3 linked regions of the Tamandua tetradactyla genome follow. The protein of the gene in region 1 interacts with the protein of each later gene in a pairwise test. Links are inferred from orthologs where the notes say so. Each region holds a gene or a part of one and is shown in the gene's direction. Other genes may lie near its edges. The genes, in order: PIH1D2, IGF2BP3 and EIF4A2.

What was found.
Region 2: the proteins of PIH1D2 (region 1) and IGF2BP3 interact in a two-hybrid assay, tested with the Homo sapiens proteins (2 studies listed by BioGRID and IntAct). The two-hybrid records come from large-scale screens. The link is inferred for Tamandua tetradactyla from reciprocal best matches to the Homo sapiens genes PIH1D2 and IGF2BP3.
Region 3: the proteins of PIH1D2 (region 1) and EIF4A2 interact in binary tests that used the Homo sapiens proteins (3 or more experiments, as listed by UniProt). The two-hybrid records come from large-scale screens. The link is inferred for Tamandua tetradactyla from reciprocal best matches to the Homo sapiens genes PIH1D2 and EIF4A2.

What each region holds. Positions count from the first base shown.
Region 1 is NC_135334.1:29,177,539-29,185,196, forward strand, and holds the start of PIH1D2 (PIH1 domain-containing protein 2), read left to right. Parts: upstream 1-4,491; 5' UTR 4,492-4,600; exon of another isoform or gene 4,601-4,698; intron 4,699-5,507; 5' UTR 5,508-5,539; coding exon 5,540-5,716; intron 5,717-7,068; coding exon 7,069-7,192; intron 7,193-7,585; coding exon 7,586-7,658. Other genes in the region: uncharacterized protein NKAPD1, read right to left, coding at 2,928-2,996.
Region 2 is NC_135327.1:100,249,259-100,256,458, forward strand, and holds the start of IGF2BP3 (insulin-like growth factor 2 mRNA-binding protein 3), read left to right. Parts: upstream 1-4,196; 5' UTR 4,197-4,540; coding exon 4,541-4,715; intron 4,716-6,230; coding exon 6,231-6,291; intron 6,292-7,200. UniProt on the Homo sapiens protein: RNA-binding factor that may recruit target transcripts to cytoplasmic protein-RNA complexes (mRNPs). This transcript 'caging' into mRNPs allows mRNA transport and transient storage.
Region 3 is NC_135336.1:5,773,871-5,781,704, forward strand, and holds the start of EIF4A2 (eukaryotic initiation factor 4A-II), read left to right. Parts: upstream 1-4,821; 5' UTR 4,822-5,121; coding exon 5,122-5,150; intron 5,151-6,003; coding exon 6,004-6,052; intron 6,053-6,145; coding exon 6,146-6,278; intron 6,279-6,388; exon of another isoform or gene 6,389-6,457; intron 6,458-6,558; coding exon 6,559-6,698; intron 6,699-7,465; coding exon 7,466-7,634; intron 7,635-7,739; coding exon 7,740-7,834. UniProt on the Homo sapiens protein: ATP-dependent RNA helicase which is a subunit of the eIF4F complex involved in cap recognition and is required for mRNA binding to ribosome.

The sequences.
Region 1 (7,658 bases):
AATAGGGAACAAATTTTAGAATCCCTGCCTAGAGGTGATGGCAGCACTTTATTTGAGAATAATTAAAAGTGCTGAATAGTGTGTGAATGCGGTAAAAAGGAGACATGTAAAGTCACATATGTCACATAAGGAAAGTTGAAGTTCAAAACAGGAGAACTTATAACAAGTGAATCCTATGGTGGACAATTCCTGCAATTAAGTGTACAAATATAAAAAAGTTCTTTCATGAACTAGAACGCATTTATGGCATAAGGAGTTAATAACAGAGGAGTTTATGGGAAAAAACCTATTATAATCTATGGACAATAGTTAACAGTAATATTTTAATACTCACTCATCAAGAGTAACAAACGTACTACACCAATCAATAATAGGGGGAAATAAGGGATGTGGGAGATTTGGGTTTTTAATTTTCATTTCTTTTCTTGAGTGATGAAAATGTTCTAAAATTGATCATGGGCCAGGATATGGACAGATGAGTAAAAAAATATGGCTGAAAAATAAATAATAAAAGAGATAAGGCGTAAAAATAAATTGGGTAAATGGAAGTCAATGAGAGGAAAGGGTAAGGGATATGGGATGAATGAGTTGTTTCTTTCTTCTTTTTATTTCTTTTTCTGGAGTGATGCAAATATTTTAAAAAATGATCATGGTGATGAATACACAACTATGTAATATACTGGGAGCCACTGATGGTACACCGTGTATGGACTGTATGTGTGTGAAGATTTCTCAATAAAAATATTTTTTAAAAAACTGTTCATGGGGTTGATTGCACAACTATATAATGACACTATATGAGCCAGTGACTGTGTATTTTGGATGGTTTGTATGGTTTATGAATATATCTCAATAACATGCCAAAAAAAACCCTGCATATACACACTTATCACTTCATCAATTTTGCACTTGTTTTGCAATGCAACTGATAATCCTATATTTCTAAGATGCATAATTGTTTTAATTTATCATCTCAATTGAATCTTAAGCAATCTTATGAAGGAAGCAAAGGAGGTATGATTATTACGTTTTACTGAGAAGGAAAAAAGCTCAAAGATATTAAATGATTTGCCAATGTCAAAAAATAGGTCTTTAAAGTCTACACTAAGTTTCTTTTCATAATATTGTACTTGTCAAAAACAAAAGAAAACAAACAGCATGGTTATAAGAGAATTTCTTGAAAAGCAGACTACATGCAACATAATAAAAATTAAAAAAAAAAAAGCAGACTAAAATTGCCAAAGAACAAGAATACATTTTAATTCTAAGTCCTCTTGCATCATTTTGTAAAAACTGTGCTAGATCCCCTTTGAAATGTAAGCTTACCCTATAAGTAGCGACAGATTAGCACAATTGGAGATGCTGCTTGGGTAACAGTTATATCCTCACACTACTCAAATTATCAGGTAATATAATAGTAATAACATTTATGATCAAACCAAGAGTAATACAATTCACTGAAATCAAACAAGGATCCTTGGTTCTCTTTTCAGTATACAAGCTTTCCGTAGGTGACCTTATCTACTCTCATGACTTCTAACATTTACCTACATCAATAATTTCCTATCCTTTATGTTCAGCTCCAAGTTTTCTCCTTTCTGCCAAATCTGAATTTCCAACTATTTTTGGATCTTCTATAAGCACCTCACAATCAACATGTTCAAAGTCAAACTAACTACCCACTTCATACCTGTCCCTTTTCTTCTGTTCCCTATCTTAATCAATAGCATCATCAATGAGTAAGAAAATAGAGACAAAACATAAATAAATAATAAGGGATTGGGGAGATGGGATGCCTTGGGCGTTCTTTTTTACTTTTATTTTTATTCTTATTTTTACTTTTTTTGGAGTAATGAAAATGTCCAAAAATCCACTGTAATGAAGGTACAGCTGTACGACGAAACGGTGAGCCACTGATTGTACACTTTGGACGATTATATGGCATGTGAATATATAATATATCTCAAAAAATTGCATTAAAAAAATAGTGGGGTTACAAGGGTAGTTTAGAGGTAGAATTTTTGCCTGCCATGTGGGAAACCCAGGTTCATTTCCCGGGCAGTGCACTCCTCACCCCCCCTCAGAAAAATTCAATAAATGGTGCTGTAATAATGGGATATTTGTGTGGAAAAAAAATGAAATGTGACCCTCACCATACAGCAAACAAACAAACAAAAAATAGCATCATTATCCACCTAGATACACAAGCTGGCCATTCTTTTTACTATTATCCAATCAGTCACCAGGTTCTTTGGATTTTATTTCCTAAATTCCTCTTCTTCAACCCACTGTCACAGCTTTCTTTTGAGCCCTCATCATCTCTCACCTGGAACTGCAACTGACTCCTAATTTGTCTCACTACTGTTTCTACCCATCTGATCTATCCCTACCCAGCTGACAAATCACCTTTCAAAAATACAAATATGATTATGTCATGCCCTGCTTAAAACATCTGATGCTTCTTTATTGCCTAGAGGAAAACACCTAAAATTTCCCAAGCATCACACAGAAGTTTCTTCAAAATCTGATTCTTCAAAATCTAACTGACCACTCAGACCTCATCTCTGTAATTTTCTACAGGTTAGACACATTCAATTTCATTCGGGCACATAATAGTTCCCTCTGTCCAGGAGGATCCTTTACCTGGTAAAACTTGTACCCATTTACCAAGACCTAGTTCACTTTTCAACAACTCAAAAACTACCCCTTCTGTGAAATCCTTTCTAATTCCTAAAAGCAGATTTCATTATTCATCACTCCTTCCTCAGTACCCTAAAGCACTTTGCATATGACTCTATTATAGTATATATCAAAATGTACTGTAATTATCTAATTCATCTTTGTACTCCCCAATTGTGCCAAAATACTGCTTGGCACATTGTATGCCTTCAGTAAGTGTTAAGGAATGGCTGGGTTGTCCCTCCCACCTTATTGTGAGCATCTGTGTGCCGGATGACATTCCTCAGGAGGACCTTCCCCAAAGGAACCCGGGACATTCTTCAATCTGAAATGAATCAATAAATAACATTTAATAACGATTTCTATTACCTTATTTTTTATTACAATTAAATAAAGAAGCATGAGGTAAGGTAAAATCACTGAACTATGAGTCAGATGCCCTGAGGAAGAGTTTTCCTTCACAAATAAAAGGGAAAAATGCCTGACAACACTAGTGTGAGGATGAAAGGAGATAGTGTTCCTTAAAGTTCTTTGAAATTGCTCAAGATGACATGAGCACCATTTCATTCATCCTCACAATAACTATGTGTTTTATATGAGGCAAGTTATCTTCATCCCTATTTTACAGATCAACTTTCCTGAAAGCCCTAACTTGTCGGCCAGAGAGTCTCAGGCAAGCAACGTATATATAAAGATCCAAATTAGAAAATTCTTGATTCCCAAAATTAATTTGCAATGAAGCAAATATCTAAATTTAAAAGTGTCAGTGACTACAAGTGTCAACAAATATAAAAACTGACTCTTGGAAACATCAGATGCAGAGATACCCTAAATTTCTTCCTTCAGAGAAATTTTATTTCCTATTTTGTGCAAAAGCTTCCAACTTCTAGAGGACAAAGATATTAACGTGTTAGCTAGCAGGGGCTTTGTGCAACCACCCCATAGCTCACTCACCCCTCGATCCTGAGGAAATCAGGCATCTTGTTAGTGTGAGACGAAGAACCACTCCATTACAAGATCTCCTCCGACCCAGGAAGCCAAGGAGTCAGGGCTCAAAGGCAGCTCTGCAGCTTCACCCGAGTCCTTCGTGAAAACGCAGCCTTCCCACCGGTTATTATGCCCTCACCCGTGGCCCAGGCATGGCTGCCTTTCCCCCAGCCCAGACCGACAGGCAGTTCTCCCGAAGCGAGGCCGGAGCTTGCGCTGGAGCGGAATCTGGACGGCCCGGTCGGCTTTCCCCGCTCAGGCTCCGCTGGGATGGACCCGGGGACTGAGTTTTGCTCCCCAGATAAGGACGGGGACGTTCTGGATAAGTATGACTTTTCGGCTGGGCCCCGGGAAGTATCTAGAGGGCCTGACGGGGAGGTTGAGGTCTCCAAGAGGAAGACAGAGAAAATACCCCCATCTTTATCACCGGTATCCCCGCCACCCAGCGGCCAACGGCCTCGGAGCTCCCGGTAACCTCCCCTCCAAACGCCCTCCCCACACAAATACACACAAACACACCCATACCGTGCGCCGCAGCCTCGCGTGGCGGGGGTGGGGGGAGGAAGCGATCTGGGAGAAAAAGGAGGAGGCTTCCCTTTCAGGCCGGAAGTCGTGCTCCTGAGAAATTCTTCCCACCAATGGTTGGCACAGAGTGTGTCACAGATAGAATTTACAGGATACTCCAGAGGTCGATGGATGCAAGTGGGAGGCTGGCGCTTTTCTGGAAGAGAAGTGGGTCAGACCCGGCAGAAAAGTGAACCCACGACCGGAAGAGTGAGATTCCGGAACTGGAAGTAAGGAGAACTTTCTGACTGGTGCTTCCCGGACCCAATTAAGCGTTGCGCCCAGCCTGGTTACCCTGGTAACAGGCGCCGCGCTGTGTGTCAAGGATCCGAGGGAAGTGGATTCACCGGCCTCTGGAATGATTGCCCAAAGTTAAGTTTCCTATTTAGCCTTATCTCATACAGTATTCGAAGCCTCAGTCGGTGGTATGGGACTCCTCTCCAGTGGACGCGGAGGGAAGGAAATAGGGTAGGAGTGGGGGACGTGATATTCCAAGATCTAGAAAGGGTATTTTTACTTTCATTTAGCGTTTACCAAGTGTAAATCTATATATATATATTAGTTTACTCAATCCTGCAAGTAACTCCTTGAGATAGGCATTTTATTATCGTCTTCATTTTGAGAATCACCTAATATATATTATTAACAAAATATATATATATATTTTATATAATAATATATATATATATTAATATATATATAATATATATTATATATATATTATATATATATATTATATATATAATATATATTATATATATAATATATATATTATATATATAATATATATTATATATATAATATATATATATATAATGTGTGTGTGTGTGTAACTGCTCAAGGTCATCCATCTAGTGATAGAGCTAAGATTAGAAGCTTAACCTTCTGGCTCCAGATTCCATGCTTTTATCTACTAAGCTATACCGAAGTTTCCAATGGACCTCACCCCACACGCACCTCTGCCAACTCCAGGACTGGGGAGCCGGCAATTAAGGATACACAGGTGTTGGAACAGGAAGAGAGCCAGAAACCCAAACTGAAAGTGTCTCCTCTCCCATCTCTAGGCTTGTGAGATTCCAAATAGGGGTAAGGCCTTATCTTTGATGACTTGAGAATTAGGAAGGGGTGCTGAATAGGAAATAAGGAAAAGATAGCAGCGCTAAGCCACAATCTTTGAGACACAGATGTTAAGGTAGCTGATACCTGTCCTCCCTCCCCCCAAAGTAGAAATGACTTACCCACGCAGATTTTTTCCCCCTTAACTCGTGTCTTTCCACAGGTTTAAGAGACCTGTTCACCATCATTAATCATGGACGCATCCTCAAAGGGTCTGTTTACCCAAATTACTCAATTCTGGAACCTTCTAGATGATCTGGCTGAAAGTGACCCTGAGCGCTATGACAAGTTCATTAAATGGCAGCTGAAAGAGGGGAAACAGTTCTGTGCTGCCCCAGAACCACAGCTGTGTCTACAGACGAAGATCCTGGTGTGTAGAGTTGGTGTCATGGCTGGGAAAGTGCTGAACAAAATGATTCTGGAATAACCAGAGGATAGCATACCCTTAGCTATTGCCACATAAACACAAGAAAATTGAAGAGAAACTGCCATTCTAGAAAATGAAAAGTAGTGTGGAAGATTGTGTTGAGAAGTAAGAGTGGTATTCATACTTGTTATATTTTGGAGATGTCAAATGAGGTCTAGAATGAAAAGAGAAAGTAATGTAATAATTTAAAGGAGAATCATGGAATTGGAGCTTTTTCAAATAAAGATAACTGTTTAGTTGGTGCAGTTAAGAAGTGATGTGATAGGGTCAAGTGAAATAATCTACAATTATTAGATTAGATCAATTCCCTCCTCCCTCACCACATCTCCACCCGAGTTCCTTTCTGGGTTCAGTTACTGGATTCTTAGTGAAAAGACAGCAGCTTTTGGGAAATCAAGAAAGCAAGAGTGTAATTTATCAAAAAACTTTAACCATGTGGATTAAAAATAAATAATAGGGGGAACAAATGTTAAATTGAGTAGATTGAAATACTAGTGATCAATGAAAGGGAATGGTAAGGAGTATAGAAAAAAATAGGGGAAACAAAGGCTAAAATATATTGGGTAGATGGAAGTACTAGCACTCAATGAGAGGGAGGAGTAAGAGGTATGTATGAGTTTTTTATTTCTTTTTCTGAATTGATGCAAATGTTCTAAGAAATCATGGTGATGAATATACAACTATGTGATATTGTGAGTTATTGATTATATACCAAAAATGGGAATGTTTGTGTTTGTATGTTATGTTTAAAAAAATTTTTTTTAATTAAAAAAAAACAGTTTTAACATCTTGTGTCTGATACTCATTTTATCTACAGTATGGACAGATGAGCAAAAAATATGGATAAGAAATAAATAATAGGGGAACAAAAGTTAAAATAAATTGAGTAGATTGAAATACTAGCAGTCAATGAGAGGGAGGGGTAAGGGGTATGGCATGCATGACTTTTTTCTTTTTTCTCTTGTTGGAGAGATGCAGATGTTCAAAAAGATGATCATTGCCATGCCAGAGGACCCAGGTTCAATTCCCGGTGTCTGCCCATGTTTAAAAAAAAAAAAGATGATCATGGTGATGAATACATAACTATGTGATGATATTGTGAGCCACTGATTGTAACCACGTCAAGAACATTTGTGTGTTTGTTATTTATAAACAAACAAAGCAATTAACATGTGAAATGACTAACCTGGAGACTAAAATTCTACCTCTTACAATTCTGTGATGAGCTGCCTTTAGGATATTATTTTAAAATAACAAACTACATTTTGAAATATGCAAAATTATTTGCTTTCTAGAAACCAAGAGAAAAAATACTTTTTATCAACCTATGCCAGTGGAAAAGAATTCCAGCTCCCCAATCAAACACTCATCCAGTACCTTTAAGTATCGGCAGGCCAGAAGATATGTCTGAGACATCAGGTAGGCAGAATTATGGGAGAGGAAGCACATTTGAAAAATCTTTTTGGCAAAACAATGGGCCAGATTTTGATAAAAGACACTTCAAGTTAAAATATTTTATTTGGTGATAATGTAGTTTATGACATATTAGTATACCTTTATGCAAATTGAATGCCTTTTTGTTAAGTTTTTCTAGCAATATGACAAGTTTTTAACCCATGTAAAAATGCCAAGAGATGCCCTAATTGGAATATAATGTATATAGAACCATTGTGATTGCCTTTGAAAAAATACAGGAATGGAATTTACTTTCTAGTTTTATCAAGATTATGATTTAATATATTACCTGATAATATCATTAATGAAAACAGGTCAAGTTGTCTTCATTTCACACCCTCCAAATTAAACACACAGATGTTTTCACAGTCATCGATGTTGCCTACAATCCTGATGTTCTCCAGGCAGCAGAAAAGGACCAGAAGAAAAG
Region 2 (7,200 bases), on another chromosome or scaffold:
GGGAAAATGTGAGCAAGAACTGGGAAACCCAATTCCACCCCTCAGTAAGAACAAAACCATCGAGAGGGAGTAAAGGGTTATTTTCGCGCCACAAAAGATGGAAATACAGGGATGGCTCCGGAGCCAATGAATGGAAACCAACGAACGAATCCGGCGCAGGCATCCGGCGGTGATAGGCTCCCCTTCCACCAGTCGGATGAGAGGGAGCAGCCCACCCCGCCCCTCCGCGGCCAGGGGCGGTGTCTTCCTCGACGCCGGTTGCTTAACTTGGTCTCGGCGAGTACGCCCCGGGGAGCGCTGGCCCCGCCCCGGGGCCACTTCTGCGCGCGGGTCTCGCGGTCCCGCCCGGTCCTAGGCAGAGGCGCAGGGTTCAGCGACCAATTCTTGCCCTGTCTCGGTGGGTACCAAGCATCCCTGACCGCCGGGCTGCCCCCGCACACGCGGAAACGAAGCCGGAGGTGCGGGAGGGGTGTTCAACGGACCCCGCCTGGTGCGTCCCCGCGGCCCGCGGGCGGGCGTGGCGGGCAGCAGGACTTCAGGAGTGGACGTGCCGCGGGGAGAGTGAGCGAAACTTCCCCCGGCTCTCACATCTAACCCGGCCACGTGGGTCCGCGCGGAGGGCTAGGACCCAAGGCAGAATCAGAAGCCGGCTGTCCGGCGGCAGCGCTGGGAAAAGGGCGGCCCAGTGGTCAAGGTTCTCCCGGCGAGCAGGCGGCGACAAAGGACCTAGCCCAGTGTCAACCGCAGGGATCACGCCCTCTTTCTCTGGTCAGATCCAGAGGAAAAGGGAAACAATCCCTCTTCTCATCTCCTAGGGCACCATTTTATTTTATTTTAAATAAATGAAAGCACATTCCAGAGAGAGGGCTGAGCCAGGATACCACTTATCATCATGCCTTCTGGTTTGAACAGATCAGAGTCCAGGAGGACTGGTGGAAGAAATAACTAGTTGAAATGCCTCCTGTGAGGCCCTCCATTGTGTGCCCACCCCGCGCGCAGGGCTTCGGCTCCAGGCTGGCCTTAAGGCAGCCGAGAGGAAGGAGGGGTGGGAATACCCTTTCCCCTTCCTTTGCCTGCTCAACCTTCACCGATAGGTAACCTGTGGCTACAGCAACGGTAACCGACCTCTTAATATAGTTTTTCTCCTTTAATATTACCTTGACCTGTAAGAAACATTTTTCTTGCCCCCAGATCAGCAGATAAGGGGGAGTGCAGCTGTTTAAAGAGTCAACAGGCTCCAATTGGAAAATCTCAGTCGCATTTAAGAGTAGATGGCATGGGTAGGAGTCCTTTCTTCGTGAAATTAACATTAATTAGGAAGTACAACTGTTTCAGGAAGTACTTGGAGTAGCCCATAAACTGTTAATTTCTGGTGTGAAACACATTACAAGGCTGTAAATTAAACTGATTTTATATCCATTTTTAATGTACCAGAGATATTTTTGCATTTGAAGTGCCAAAAAACAAACAAAAAAACCCCTAACCCAATATCCTCTTTACTCAGCCACTGAGTTTATACATATCCTTCAAATGCTTGAAATGGAGTGGATTGTATTCACCCCCCTTTTTGGTGTCTGAGCTTATGTAACCAGTGTATGTTTTTAAGGTCCTATACGGAGTATCTAGTTTGTTATAATAATACACAGATTAAGTTCACAAGTGTGCCAGGACCATATTTCTAAGTAGCACACACTTGTTTTAAATTCCAGCTGTTAGACGTGTTTGATAATGATAGACAAGCATGAGCTAGTATTTATGGAAAATAAACGATTTATACAGGGTTCAGAGGTAGATATTTCCTTAGTTCTCAATTTTAATAAGAGCAAATACAGTTAGCAATCCATAAGTTAATTTACTTTGGAAGTAAACTGAACATAAAATTTGTTCTTATGAAAAATTAGTAAAAGAATTGAATTGTTAGTTTATAAAATTTAAGTGGAATTTAGAATAGCAAATATTAATGAAGAACCTACTTCTCCAAATAACTTTTAATCACATGCAACAGGTAAATGAAAAATAAATTTGTAGTTTGGTAGTATTTACACTTGCATAAGAAGTCATAAGGAAGAATACATATATGTTTTTCTTTTTTAGAACCAAGTTTCTCTTTTAAAAAGACATGAAAAGGAAAAATACGAAATCCCTTTAAAAAAGTTAAACCTAACTATAAACTTAGAGATGTTCTTTCAAGAAAGAGTTCATTAATACATTTCTAAACACTTAAGAACACATTTGTCCCCCTCAGCTCATAAAGTAAAAGCATTTCACCAAATTAAACGTGAATGAAAATATTGTGAAAGTGAGTTTACGTTTAAAAAGTTGGGTTTGCTTGGCAGGGAAAAAAAAAACCTGTTAAAAGAGTTGCACTTAAAATGGATGATCTGACACCTTCCGGTTACTTAATAACACAAAATCATAAAATAAATTCCTTTAAAAAGACAAAATGTAAAAGCTTTACATCATGCAATACTTTCCCCCATCCCTTTAAAAAATAATATGCCATTCATCTCTTACCTTTGGAAAATACATACGTTTAAATGTTATGTACAGTTTTTGTCAAAGAAACGAATTACATCAAGGAGTAGTAAGATGTTTCTAGTGTAAATCACAATATTTCCTGTTACACAATACATTTTTCTACCAATAAGAGTACCAAGCGATTAAATATTCTTGTTTTTATTTCCATGCTATATAGAATTTCATTCGCTTTTTAAAAATTAACATTTTAATTTTTCCATGGGATACCTGTAAAAATATACCACAAGGATCTGGCACAAATTAAACCTTTGAGTGGAGTACCCAGTTATGAAGCGACACTTCGAGATTTCCACAAGAACCTCGTTCTGCCTTCGTTTCCGTAGTCTTCATCTCTATTCCACAATTCGTTGGCTCCTAAAGGCTCCACCGGGCCCAGACCCTCCCCCCACAAACCCACCATTGTACTCGTTACACACAGGGAAAATTGTGAATGACTCTCACGGCCAAATGTGGGCAGAACAGCAGCAGAAAGAGACGCGAACAATTTCTCAAGCGCCATTAACACCTAGGGGTAACGCGTTGCTGTCTTCCCATTTTAAGAGTTCCAAGTTCTCTAACTAAAATGATTTAAATATCATTAGAGCGTACTCCAACCCCGCCCCCCGCCCCCCGCCCCCCCCCCCCCACTCCCCCACGACCTACTGGAAGGGATGGTTTCCCTTTAAGTACCGACTTTTCCCACTTTCGACTTCTCTCCTCCGGCCTCCAAAGCCCCGGCCACCCCATCACCACGCAAAGAACCTCCGCCCCTCTGCCCTCCCCTCCCCCACCAGCGGTCGCCCCCGCCCCCCGGCCTCATTTATCCCGGAGCCTTCTTCAAACCAATAGCAGACGCGGAGCCGCGAGCGCCCGCCGGCAGAGGCGGAGGAGGGGTCGCCCAGACGCCCGCCCTGGACGCCGCGGGCTCCCATCCCCCACCGCCCCGCCGCCCGCGCCCCCACTTCCCCGGAGCCCCGTCCCGGCAAGGCTGGAGACAGTGGGGCGTTCCTGCCAGTCTCCCCCTTCCCCACCCACCCCACCCCCACCCCCACCAGCCCTGGAAAGGCGCTGGCTGCTTGGCCGAGGTTTCACTCACACCGTCATCAAGGCCACAAGGCGAGTTCGGGATTGTGACTCTTTGCTTTTGTTAATTTCCTATTTTAGAAAATCGAATGATCAAAACTCTGCAAGTTAGAGCCGAGGAATCGCCTAGTTAGCACTCCCACCGCTTTCCTTCTTAAAAAAAAAATATCCGGCCGTCCCCCTCCCCCTAGGAACCGCCCCGATCAGATAACCCTTTCTAAACTCGGGCAATGACAACCCGCTCCCCACCGCGCCCCGGCTGCAGCTCCTTTAGCATTTTTTCCCTCTTCCTCCTCCCCCTTCTCAGGGTCTTTTCGCTTAATCTCGTTTCCCCTCCCCCCTCTCTTTTTTTTTCCCCCGAAACCCACTCTAATTGAGGCGCTGGGATTCCTCACGTGAGACGTTGATTTGTAGTTTGAACACGTGGCTCATTCAAAAAGCCGGACACTCGGAGCGGATTTTTTCCGCCTCCAGCTCCTTCCTCCCCCCCTCCTCTCCCCTCCCTCCTGCCAGTCACCCTTCTGGGTTTTTTATGGGGAGGCGGCGCTTACCCTCACGTAGTGTGATATTTTCACAGTCCGCTGGCCGAAGCCAAAAGGGTTGGGGAGGAAGAGACAAAAAGTAGTTTCCCCCCACCCCTCCTCCCTTCTCTCGCTAATCCCGCCTCCTCTTTAGAGTTAGGAAAGACTCGTCGATACGTATGGGTTGGTAGCAAGGCTTTTTCTTTTTTCTTTTTTTTTTTTTAATACCTAGTAAAGGAGAAACAAGAACCTTCGGATCTGATTTTTCGCTCCTCGTTCTTGGCCTTGGTTTTTACAGTGTTTGTGTATTTTAAAGGCGAGAATACGAGAAGAACAAAACCCGCCGGATCCATCCATCGCCGTGGGTGGTTTTAATTTTTCGTTTTTCTCTTCATTTTTTTAAACAATCAATCTTCACAATGAACAAACTGTATATCGGAAGCCTCAGCGAGAACACCGTCCCCTCGGACCTAGAAACTATCTTCAAGGACGCCAAGATTCCGGTGTCGGGACCCTTCCTGGTGAAGACAGGCTACGCGTTCGTGGACTGCCCTGACGAGAGCTGGGCCCTCAAGGCCATCGAGACGCTTTCAGGTGGGCCCTGACCGCGGCCCTGGCTTGGCCTTGCAGGGGCGCCTGCCCCCAGTTCTGCTCTGCGGGCCCGGGCCCGCCGGGGTCGGTGCTCGGAGCCAGGCCCGCGGCTGCTGCCGGGGCGTCTACGCCCGGGCCCAGGCCCAGCGAGGGCTGGGAGCGCACGGTCGAGGGGGTGAGGCCCGAGCGCCCACATGCGTGGGGCTTTCTTAAGATTGGGCTCCAACTCCGCTCCCTGCTGCGGCTTGCTCTCCTCGCTACCTGGCATTTGCCCGGTGCAGGGCAACACGCTGTCAAGAAAGCCCCGGCCGGGGCTAGGAGCGGTGCGGGGGCTGGTTGTGGAGTTCGTGAGCGGGGTGGGGGCGCCCGGCCGCCAGCACTGCACCCCCTTCAGCGCTCCCAGCGCGCCCCGCCCGGCCCAGACGCGTTCTCCAGACTCGGGCGTGCCGGGCCTTGGGGGCCGAGTGCGAACGCCTGCTTCTTCCTTCCTCCGGTCGTTTTTTATGGCGCTGGATTCGCTGTCCGCACCCCTTGCTCGCCTCAGAGCCTGCCCGTGGGAGAAAGGAAAGGGGCCTCGACCCTGCTGCGGAGCGAGGCCGCAGCGCTGGAGCTCTGCACAAGCTACCCCGCGCTTCCTCTCGACCCTGCGGGAGGAGGGGTGCGACCTGGTTTCCATTTTCAACCTCACCCTGTCCGACGAAGTAGAGGGGCAGGTGGGCGGGAGCGGCGTGCTGTGGCCAGGGGGGGAACACCCCCACTGCAGCGGCGCGGGGCTGCGGCCTGCGGGAGGTGGCGGCGCGCCGGTCACGCCAGCCGAGGGCGGGAGACCGTGCGTGGCCCGGCGGCGGGCTGGGGCGGGACACTGAATGAGGAAGGCTGCGTAGGGGCCCCCCTGGGAGCCCGGTGCCTTTCGCTTTCCCCTTGATCGGCTTGGTCTGGATGCAGCAAGCACGCTGTCGTAGGCGCGATGTTCGTTCTAGACTGAGATGCAAGTTCGCTCTTCTATCCTGCGGCCCCCGAACCTTTCCCGCCACTCCTCGTCCTCCCGAACCCCACAGCCAAGTGTTCCCGGCGGGCCTGAGAAGGAACTTGGGAGAAGGGCCCGACCCCCCACCCCCCAAAGAAAGCCTATGGAATTGACACCCCCCCCCCCCCCCCCCCCGGTCCCGAGCTTGTCATACAGGAGCGTCTTGGGAGATGGGAAGAGGAGCAGCGTCCATCTTGTGGGTGTTGTGGGGTTGGGTGACCTCCTTGAGTGGGCGGGGGAGGCCTGGGCGGTGGGGTAAAAAATGTCTAAGTGTTGGCACGTCCGGTTAATGCCCCCTCCCCACTCATCTGTAAATTAAACAAAACAACACAACTAGGGGGTGGTCAGCTTCCCACACGCGCTGTTTCCAGCTTCCCAGCGGCTCTCGGGCTTGCGGTCATTTGGGCTCTAGGGCCACTCGTCGCGGTGCAGGCGGTGCTAGTCCCTCGGGCTCGGCGAGCAACCGTCTCCCACCGCTTGTGTATCTGCAGGTAAAGTGGAACTGCATGGGAAACTCATAGAAGTTGAACACTCGGTCCCCAAAAGACAAAGGTGAGTTTTTTGTTTTTTTGTTTTTTTAAATTCTGGTCTCATTCGTTATTGGAAGGAAAGACTCGCCACACAGCTGAAAACAACTTTTTATATTCATCGGGCTGCTGTATGGTTTGGTGTTTTTCGTCTTTTTTTCCCTTGCGGTTGTGTGTGTGTGTGTGTGTGTCTCTGTGTGTGTCTAAGTGTAATGCTGCGAGGAAATAGAGGGGTTGTCTCTATCCCCTGCAACTGAACTATTGTTATTGAGTATAGAAATCTTTCAAGGAAGCTCTCACAGCTAAGTGTTATCCAGAGCAGGCCAGATTGCTACCACGGGAAATGAAAGACTCCAGGGGGAGTTTTTTGGGAACCTGCAGAATTTAGGAATCAGTGAATGACTCTGATGTCTATAGCATAGGCATAGCAGCTGCAGAAACGCGCGGGTGTTGGCGGAGGTGGCCGGAGTTGGCAGCGTTGAGTCTGGGAGGCCGTCTACACGTCTGCGGGAAGAGGAATTTGCTTTTTCTCTGTTAGCTCGCCAGCCGGGTTTGGAACACGTGAGTGAAAGCCTGAGCTTCTCCAGCTCAGAAGCGATTTCACGCCAGAGTTGTACAGGTTTCTGCAAACACTGCCCTTGTTTCCTGATTTCCTTTTTTATTGATAATTTTGCTTGCAAATAACCACGAAGAGATCGTGAAGATCAAACGTTTGCTCTACCTAAAAGCCGGGGAATTCTTTTCGAGAACGTGTAGTGTGCCAATTTACAGTGTTTGGAGACTTTGTTTTAGCCTTTGGAGTATTTGGGAGAAATGGCTCCTTTCTCAAGAGCAGACCAGATCCCAGCTGTGTAACTAACTGGAAAGGTGCAGTATTCTCCCAGTGGCCCTGGGGTTGGCCTGTGGTTTCCTGGGTTTTCCAAGGTGGTGTTAC
Region 3 (7,834 bases), on another chromosome or scaffold:
TTCAGGGTAGCCTCCAGACTCTAGTTGAATTCTGTCAGCCACAGATACCTTATTTGTTACAATTCTTTTCCACCTCCTGTTCAGGAAGGCATTGTTGATCCCACCAGGTGTCAGAGCCAGGCTCATCCTTGGGAGTCGTATCTCAGGTTGCTAGGGAGACTTTCGCCCCTGTATATCATGTCCCATGTAGTGGGGAGGGTAATAATTTCAATTTCAGAGTTGGGCTTAGAAAGAAAGAGGTCACATCTGAGCAATAGAAGAGATCCTCTGGAAGTAATTCTTATTCATAACTATAGGTAGGCTTAGAGAAGTGGACCTCTTTTTAACGGCTAAGTATATGCATGGCGTACAATTTATTTAACCAATATCTTTTTTATAGACATTTACTTGTTTCTAGTATTTTGTTGTTAAAATACTGAGAAAGGGAATATGCTTGTTGATTGCAGAAGTCGAGGATATAGTAAAGGTAGGGTAGAGGAAAGGATTCTTGTGATAGTTCACGTATAGGATAAAATACCTAACTGGACGTGTTGGGTCAAAGGACATGTGCATTTTAATTCTTCATATTGCCAGAATATCCTAAAAAATATTACACTAGTTTAAACGTCCACCAAAAGTACTACAGTATCTGTTTGCCCACTAAGTATTGTCAAACTTTCTAATCTTTGTTAACCTAATTGATAAATTTTCTAAGTTATTTCTTCTCTTTTTATTTTACTTTCTCAACTGTATCCAAAGTGAGAATTGTGCCCTTTTAATCTTAATGCTTGCAAGGGCCCAGCACTACCCTATACACCTTAATAATTATTTCTTGCTTGTTGTTGATGGTTTTAATAGCTCAGATAAAGGATCAGCATTGATAAGTTTCAGTGGCTGAGATATTTCAAACACAGCCAAGTGGCCATTCTGGAGGTTATTCTTATGCAGAATATCGATATCCCTTTTCAGTTTTGGTTGTACTGCACTAGCTAGAGGGAAATACCTGAAACTGTTGAACTGTCATCCAATATAATTAATTCTTGCTTGTTGTTGATGGTTTTAGCAGCTCAAATATAGAATTAGAGTTGATATGTTTCAGTGGCTGAGAGTTTGGACGTTACGCTTATGCAAAAAAAAAATCCCTTTTCAGTTTTGGGTGTACTGTGGTAGCTACAGGGAAATACCTGAAACTGTTGAACTGCCATATCGTAGCCTTGATTCATGAATAACTTTAGAGCTTTCAAGGTGTGACTAAAACCTTGTGTAAACCTTGTGACTGACACTCCCTTTATTGAATGTATGGACTGATGAGTAAGAAAAAAGAAATGAATAATAGGAGGGTGTGGGGGAATGGGATGTTTTGGGTGTTCTTTTTTACTTTTACTCTTATTTTTATTTTTTTTGGAGAATGAACATGTTCAAAAATTGACTGTGATGATGAATGTACAGCATTATGATGATATTGTGAACTTCTGATTGTACACAGGGCGCACAGGTGATTCAGTGGTAGAATGATCACCTTCCATGCAGGAGACCTGAGTTCGATTCCTGGGCCATGCACCTAAAAAAAAAAAATCATATGGTGAAATGTATGTGTGTGAAGATTTGTCAATAAAAATATTTAAAAAAAAAATCATACCGGAGTAAAGGGAAATCTGACATTGTGTACTTCCTGATGGAATGAACTGAAAGGGAAACTTTACCAACTACAATTACTATTCTTTCCAAACATGTGTTTAACCTGAATCTAACAATGAAGCGAAAAAAAACAACAAATTCAGATTACGGGACATTTTAAAACAAAAACAAGCTGGTCTGGAATCTTCAAAAACATCAGTGTCATAAAAGAAAAATAGTAGAGGGTAACTACTGCTCTAGATTAAAGGAGACTGGGCAATGAAATGCAATACGTGATGCTTGATGGGATCCTAGATTTCTTTTTAAAGCCATAAAGTATATTATTGGGACATTTCAGAAATTTTGAATATAGATAGCTTTGTTGGGAATATCATCATATCAATAGTTAATTTATTGGGTATAATAGCATTTTCTTGGTTTTATGAAACGATATCCGTTTTTAAGATAAAAGCCGAAGTGTCACCATGAATGTGACTCAAAAGGGTCAGCAAAAAGTCATAAATACGAGAGAAAGAGTAAACATAGTAAACCTATCAATTGGTAGATGCAGCAAGAATTTGGCATTTGTTACATTATTCTTGGAACTTTTCTGTAGGTTTAAAAACTTTCCAAATAAAAAGCTGGCCCTACCTCAGATCAGATCAAGTGAATCTGGGTGGGGGAGGGTGGGTGGTAGGGCCCAGTCCACAAGTATCTGCATTTTGAACAGATCTTTTCATTGATTTTTATGCATTCCACAATTTTCAATTTAATTTGAAGTACAATATTGTCACTTTATTTTAGTCTCTGTAAAGGTAGAGGCAGAAATACCTCCATCTCTTAGTTACACAGTAGTTTAATGACCTTGAGCAAAGGGACCCAAATCCAGTCCTTACAGAGTTCGACAGGCCTTTCCATGGTCCTACCCCCAATTTTCACCATTCCCTTCAACCATTTTGTCTTTATTTTCATGCAAATGGTTTTTAAAACTCCTGTGAAGGACATGGTAGTACGTGCCACCCTCCACATTGCTTCTGTGGACAGTTTCTACACATAAACAGATTTAGCCACTGATTTCCTCCAGCAACAGATAATAAAAAGAGGTGAATTGCACTCCTGTCACTGTTTAGCTTTAGGCAATACTTTTTAATCAGTTAAATTATAGATGTAGGGACTTACTGGCTAAATAACATTAATAATTAATAAAGAGTGAAAGGTCCAAAACATACACCTTAACAAAATTCTGCTTATCAATAGATTGGCAAGGTACTGCTTTTTAAGTGTGTAGTTATCACTGAAAATTGACTGATGGACTTACAATAATATGGGCCCCAAGATGATGCACAAATATCCCTTTAAGATAAGACACCGTTTATAGAAAGATGTCACTACCAATATAAAATATACTCTTTTAAGGCTGTAATGGGTTTCCATTAAGTAGGGATGAATTTGTAATAATTTCTTGGTTCCTCTGGTAAACACCAGCTTACAACTGATAGATGGTTCCAAGACATACAACGCCTAGATGGGTTTAGAATTGTCTGCTGAGACTACTGAAGATAAAAAAATAAACTAGATGGCTCATATAAGGAAATAGTCTTTAATTTTTAGCATCACAACTGTAAGTGGTCTCACACATTCCATGTTGGTCCAAAAGCATTTGAGAAGGCTATCTAATTTTAGATCCTAGGCAAGCAGGAAAGTTTACCTTTTCAAACAAGGATGAAATGCAAGCTGGTAAGCACAGGGTTTATTGGAAATATAGTGTAGGGTTGCAGGCATTTGTGGGTCTGGCTTTACACTCTATAATGAAATTTTTTTTACTTCAAAACCTCTCCAGCACTTACAAACTCTAGAATTTAGCTCTTGATTGTTTCCTCTTAAGAGATGGGTAGCATTTAGCCTTAACACTTAACCTAAAGAAAACACTCAGCAATTAGGTGTTAATTGTTTATGACTTCACCCTAGGATGGATTGGTTTCATCTTAAAACTAAATGATTTGCCACTGTCCTGATTTAACACTTTCACCAGTTTCTTAAATCCCAGGCTATTTTTAGATTTTGGATGAGACCATTTAAAACCTCTAGGGACCAGGGGAGCAGGGCGTACGGGGCTGAGGGCCGACGATGAGCAGTCATTAGACTGGGGGCCAGGTCAACTTTGTCATCTCCCTGCCTTTTAATTTTTGTGACAGTTCCTGGCACCATAATATCAAAAAAATAAATGGTGTCCTGTAAAACAAAACACACACGTGGTATTCAGAGCCAAATATTTTCTAAAATATATAAAAGTGGTTGTCAGTTTTTCTAGTAATCAGATTTTAGGCTGGCCTTTTGAATTAATGAGAATGTTTTCCTGAGTATTCGGGATGCTAGCTTGCAGTGCTGGCAGAAGGACTATACTTTAAAGTTACACGACAAAACGTAGTTTTTATTTTTACCAACGGGGATAGATTGGGCAACAGCTGAAAACCTTTGGAGCTTAAAAAATCATGCAATTTCTTTAAGTAGCAAAGACGGTCGCTCTCGATTTCAACAGCTTATCATTCATCCTGCATAAGTATTCAAAAACTGAAAGACTTTTAAAAAGATGACCAATATAGACCGAAATGAAAACATCTAGTTCCAAATCGGCGTGGAGCTGAAGGTGCTAGAAGCACCCATTTAAAACCTGCATTATAAACCACTCTCCCTAAGCTTTTAATCATTTACAAAAGTTTACACTGATTTCTCCCCGGCATTCCGTATACCTGCTACGTTACAACTATCAGCATTATTTTAAAAAGAGAACGAGAGAAGGCCAGAAGCAACACGGGGAAAGCAGAGTTGGCTATTCCAGAGACACTTGCAAATGACATACGACCTTCTTCTCGTTGGTAAACCTGACTTTTTGGGACGCGCTGGGATGCCGACATTTTCCCCAGCAAGAGTTTCACACTCTGATGACCTGACTGGATGCTAAACCCTTGGGCTAAAGGACGAGCGACTTTCTATCACCAAATTAAACGGCGATGCACACAGGTAAAAGGACCGTGGGCTCGCTGCATAACGCGCGTGTCGCGGTCGCCGCTACACCTGAGGATGCGCAGCAAACGTGCTCGCCCGGCCGCACTCGCCCACAGGGAAGCCGCTTCCGCCTCTCGGCCCCTCCCCGATCCCTCGGGCCCGCCTCTGCGGCAAGGACGTGGAAACCCCGTAGGAGGAGGGCGGGCACGGAGAACGGGCTCTGACTATCCCTTGCTGCAATATTCTTCCGCCGCTTAGCAAAGAGTCCCGGCCCTTCCCAAGGGTTCTGGGAATTCCCTCAACCCTGGAATATCGAAGAATGACAAAATATGGATTCCCCCCCAGTACTTTCTCAAGGTTTTACATGAGGTAGGAGCTTCAGGATCACAGTTTTGTGGCCGATCGAAGAGCGACGAGAAAATTCCTCCGCAGGAAACGGGTTCCGGCCGCGAGCCTATAAAAAACGGGTAGCGCGGTTCTGCTGTCTTTTCAGTCGGGCGCTGAGTGGCTTTTCGGATCATGTCTGGTGGCTCTGCGGATTACAACAGGTATGGCCCTCTTTTGGTGGCAGTAGTTTGTGGTGAAGGTCGTGTTGGGACGAGGGGAGGTTGTAGTAGATGGCTTCCCCGTAAGGAACGCCAAATTCATAGGTGTATCTTTAGGGGTACAGTATCCTGTGCCCTTCGGGAAGCTTCCATAATGGTTAATGTTCCGGATTATAGGGAGACAAGACGGGGGCAGGAGAATAGATCGGTTAAAAAGCGCCTTTTTTTTCCTTTCAAGGACGTTATGAAATGACAGTTTTCACCTCCCCTTGCGCTGAGCACAGTAAACATTTAGTTAATTTAAAGCTGTGGCGCAGTCCGGTTTGTGTTCTGTGTAACGGGGACCGGAAGTTTTATGTGCGGCCAGCGGCGCGAATTGAGTTCCTGGGTTTTGAATGGGGGAAGGGTGGCGGCAGCTTCCACTCGGCCCTAGCAGAAGGCGGATGGGGCTGCACCGAGGACGAGGGTCCGGGCGAACCGTTAGCATAGACTTCCTCAGGCCTCTTTCACCGTGTCAATCACAGTGGCTTGCGCAGTGTAAGGGGCGGAGCGCAACGTTGAAGCTCTCGCGAGAGGCCCCACCGCCAAACGGGAGCTCTCTTCTGGGCTGGAGTGAGAGGCCAGTGTCTGGGCTTCGCGTGCGGGCCTCGGACGTACTTCACCATTCAGGAAAGGAACATGGTGTGTTTGACCTGCACCTCCAGTTGGATAAATATTAGAAAATTACATACGTAGGAGAGGGTACTGTGCGATGACAGGCGAGGTTAAGTGTTACCTGTAAAAGGGCTATTCCCTTAAGGTGCAGTTGAGTTACGGTGGCTTAAGGGATTTTCTCTAACCGCGGTGTTCTTGTCAGCAGAGAACATGGCGGCCCAGAGGGAATGGACCCCGATGGTGTCATCGAGGTAAGAAACGAGTGTGGTTTTTGAAACTCTGGAAAGGTGAGTTTGTTCATCCCATTTACTCCTGCCCTTTTTTTTTTTTTTTTAAACTCACAGAGCAACTGGAATGAGATTGTTGATAACTTTGATGATATGAATTTAAAAGAATCTCTTCTTCGGGGTATCTATGCTTATGGTTTTGAGAAGCCTTCAGCTATTCAGCAGAGAGCTATTATTCCCTGTATTAAAGGTAAAGGAAAACTCGGGTGTTCATAAAGTAGTGGAATATTGTTCAGCGTGCACCTGGACCATAAAAGGGAAAATAATCTCTTGGGGACTAGCACGTATGTGTATTCCTTAAAGTGAAATGATGGCAATCATCTTTCGGGACTGACCTGAAATGAAGAGAATACTCATTGCTGATCACTTATTTGTTTGGGCATAGTTCATTTTCCAAATGGAATACATGGTATGAACTAGAAGTGACAATTTGATGTGGGATCGGTAAATATGTATCCTACTTTTTTTAGGGTATGATGTGATTGCTCAAGCTCAGTCAGGTACTGGCAAGACAGCCACATTTGCTATTTCCATCCTGCAACAGTTGGAGATTGAGTTCAAGGAGACCCAAGCACTAGTATTGGCCCCCACCAGAGAACTGGCTCAACAGGTATTGATAGTGTAGTTCAAAAAAACTGCTTGCGTGTTGCATAGGTTTCAGGTTTCACAACTGTGAAGACTTTAAAACAGTATAAATTGCTCCTATCAGGGCACTCTTGTTGTCCATGCATGCAGAGTTTTTGTTGAAAGTTAAATAGGAACTGAGTTTACAGGTACAGTTTGCAGGGTTGTATTCCAACAGATGATAAGCCAAAGCATTCTATTCCGAGCACACTAGATTTGTGTCCATTTTTAAGTTTGAATGCAGTTGTGCAACATGAAAACTGCAGTGACATGTTATTTGACTGTCTCAGTAGTTTGTGATGCATCTGTTGCATGCTATTGTTTTCAAAGCTCACTGCTATATTGGCTTTGAAGTAAACTTTCCTAATAAAGCAGGTTTTATTAAGGTCCAGACACAGTATCCCCATGGGAAGAGATTTTATAAAGTATCAATAATATGATATTAGATGTAATTGCAGAGCTTGTTTGACTGTTTACATCACCCCCTACTCGTGAGGACTAATGTAGAAAATTTTCAGTTCTTTAATTATCTAATTGGTACTTTCGGGAAATAGGGATTCCAGCTTTGACCAAGTACAAGAATGAGGCAGTTTACAGAAATTTAATCTTAAAACACTTGTTCAGTCTGCACTTTAAGCTTGGAGATAGTTATGTGCTATGCATGCAAAACTACAGACCAGATAGTTGAAATGTTTTGGAAGTTAGTAGAGCCTATGAATTTAGTGGATAATAATTGAGGCTTTTGATTTTTAGATTCAAAAAGTAATTCTGGCTCTTGGAGACTATATGGGAGCAACTTGTCACGCCTGTATTGGTGGAACCAATGTTCGAAATGAAATGCAAAAACTGCAGGCAGAAGCACCACACATTGTTGTTGGTACTCCAGGGAGAGTGTTTGATATGTTAAACAGAAGATACCTTTGTAAGTATTGTCCTTAATGCAATATTGCTAGGTCGGGTGGGTAAAAGTCCATTGTAACCATGAAAATCTAGGGATGATAGTATGACCTTTATATTTTTTTAACAGCTCCAAAATGGATCAAAATGTTTGTTTTGGATGAAGCAGATGAAATGTTGAGCCGGGGGTTTAAGGATCAAATCTATGAGATTTTCCAAAAATTA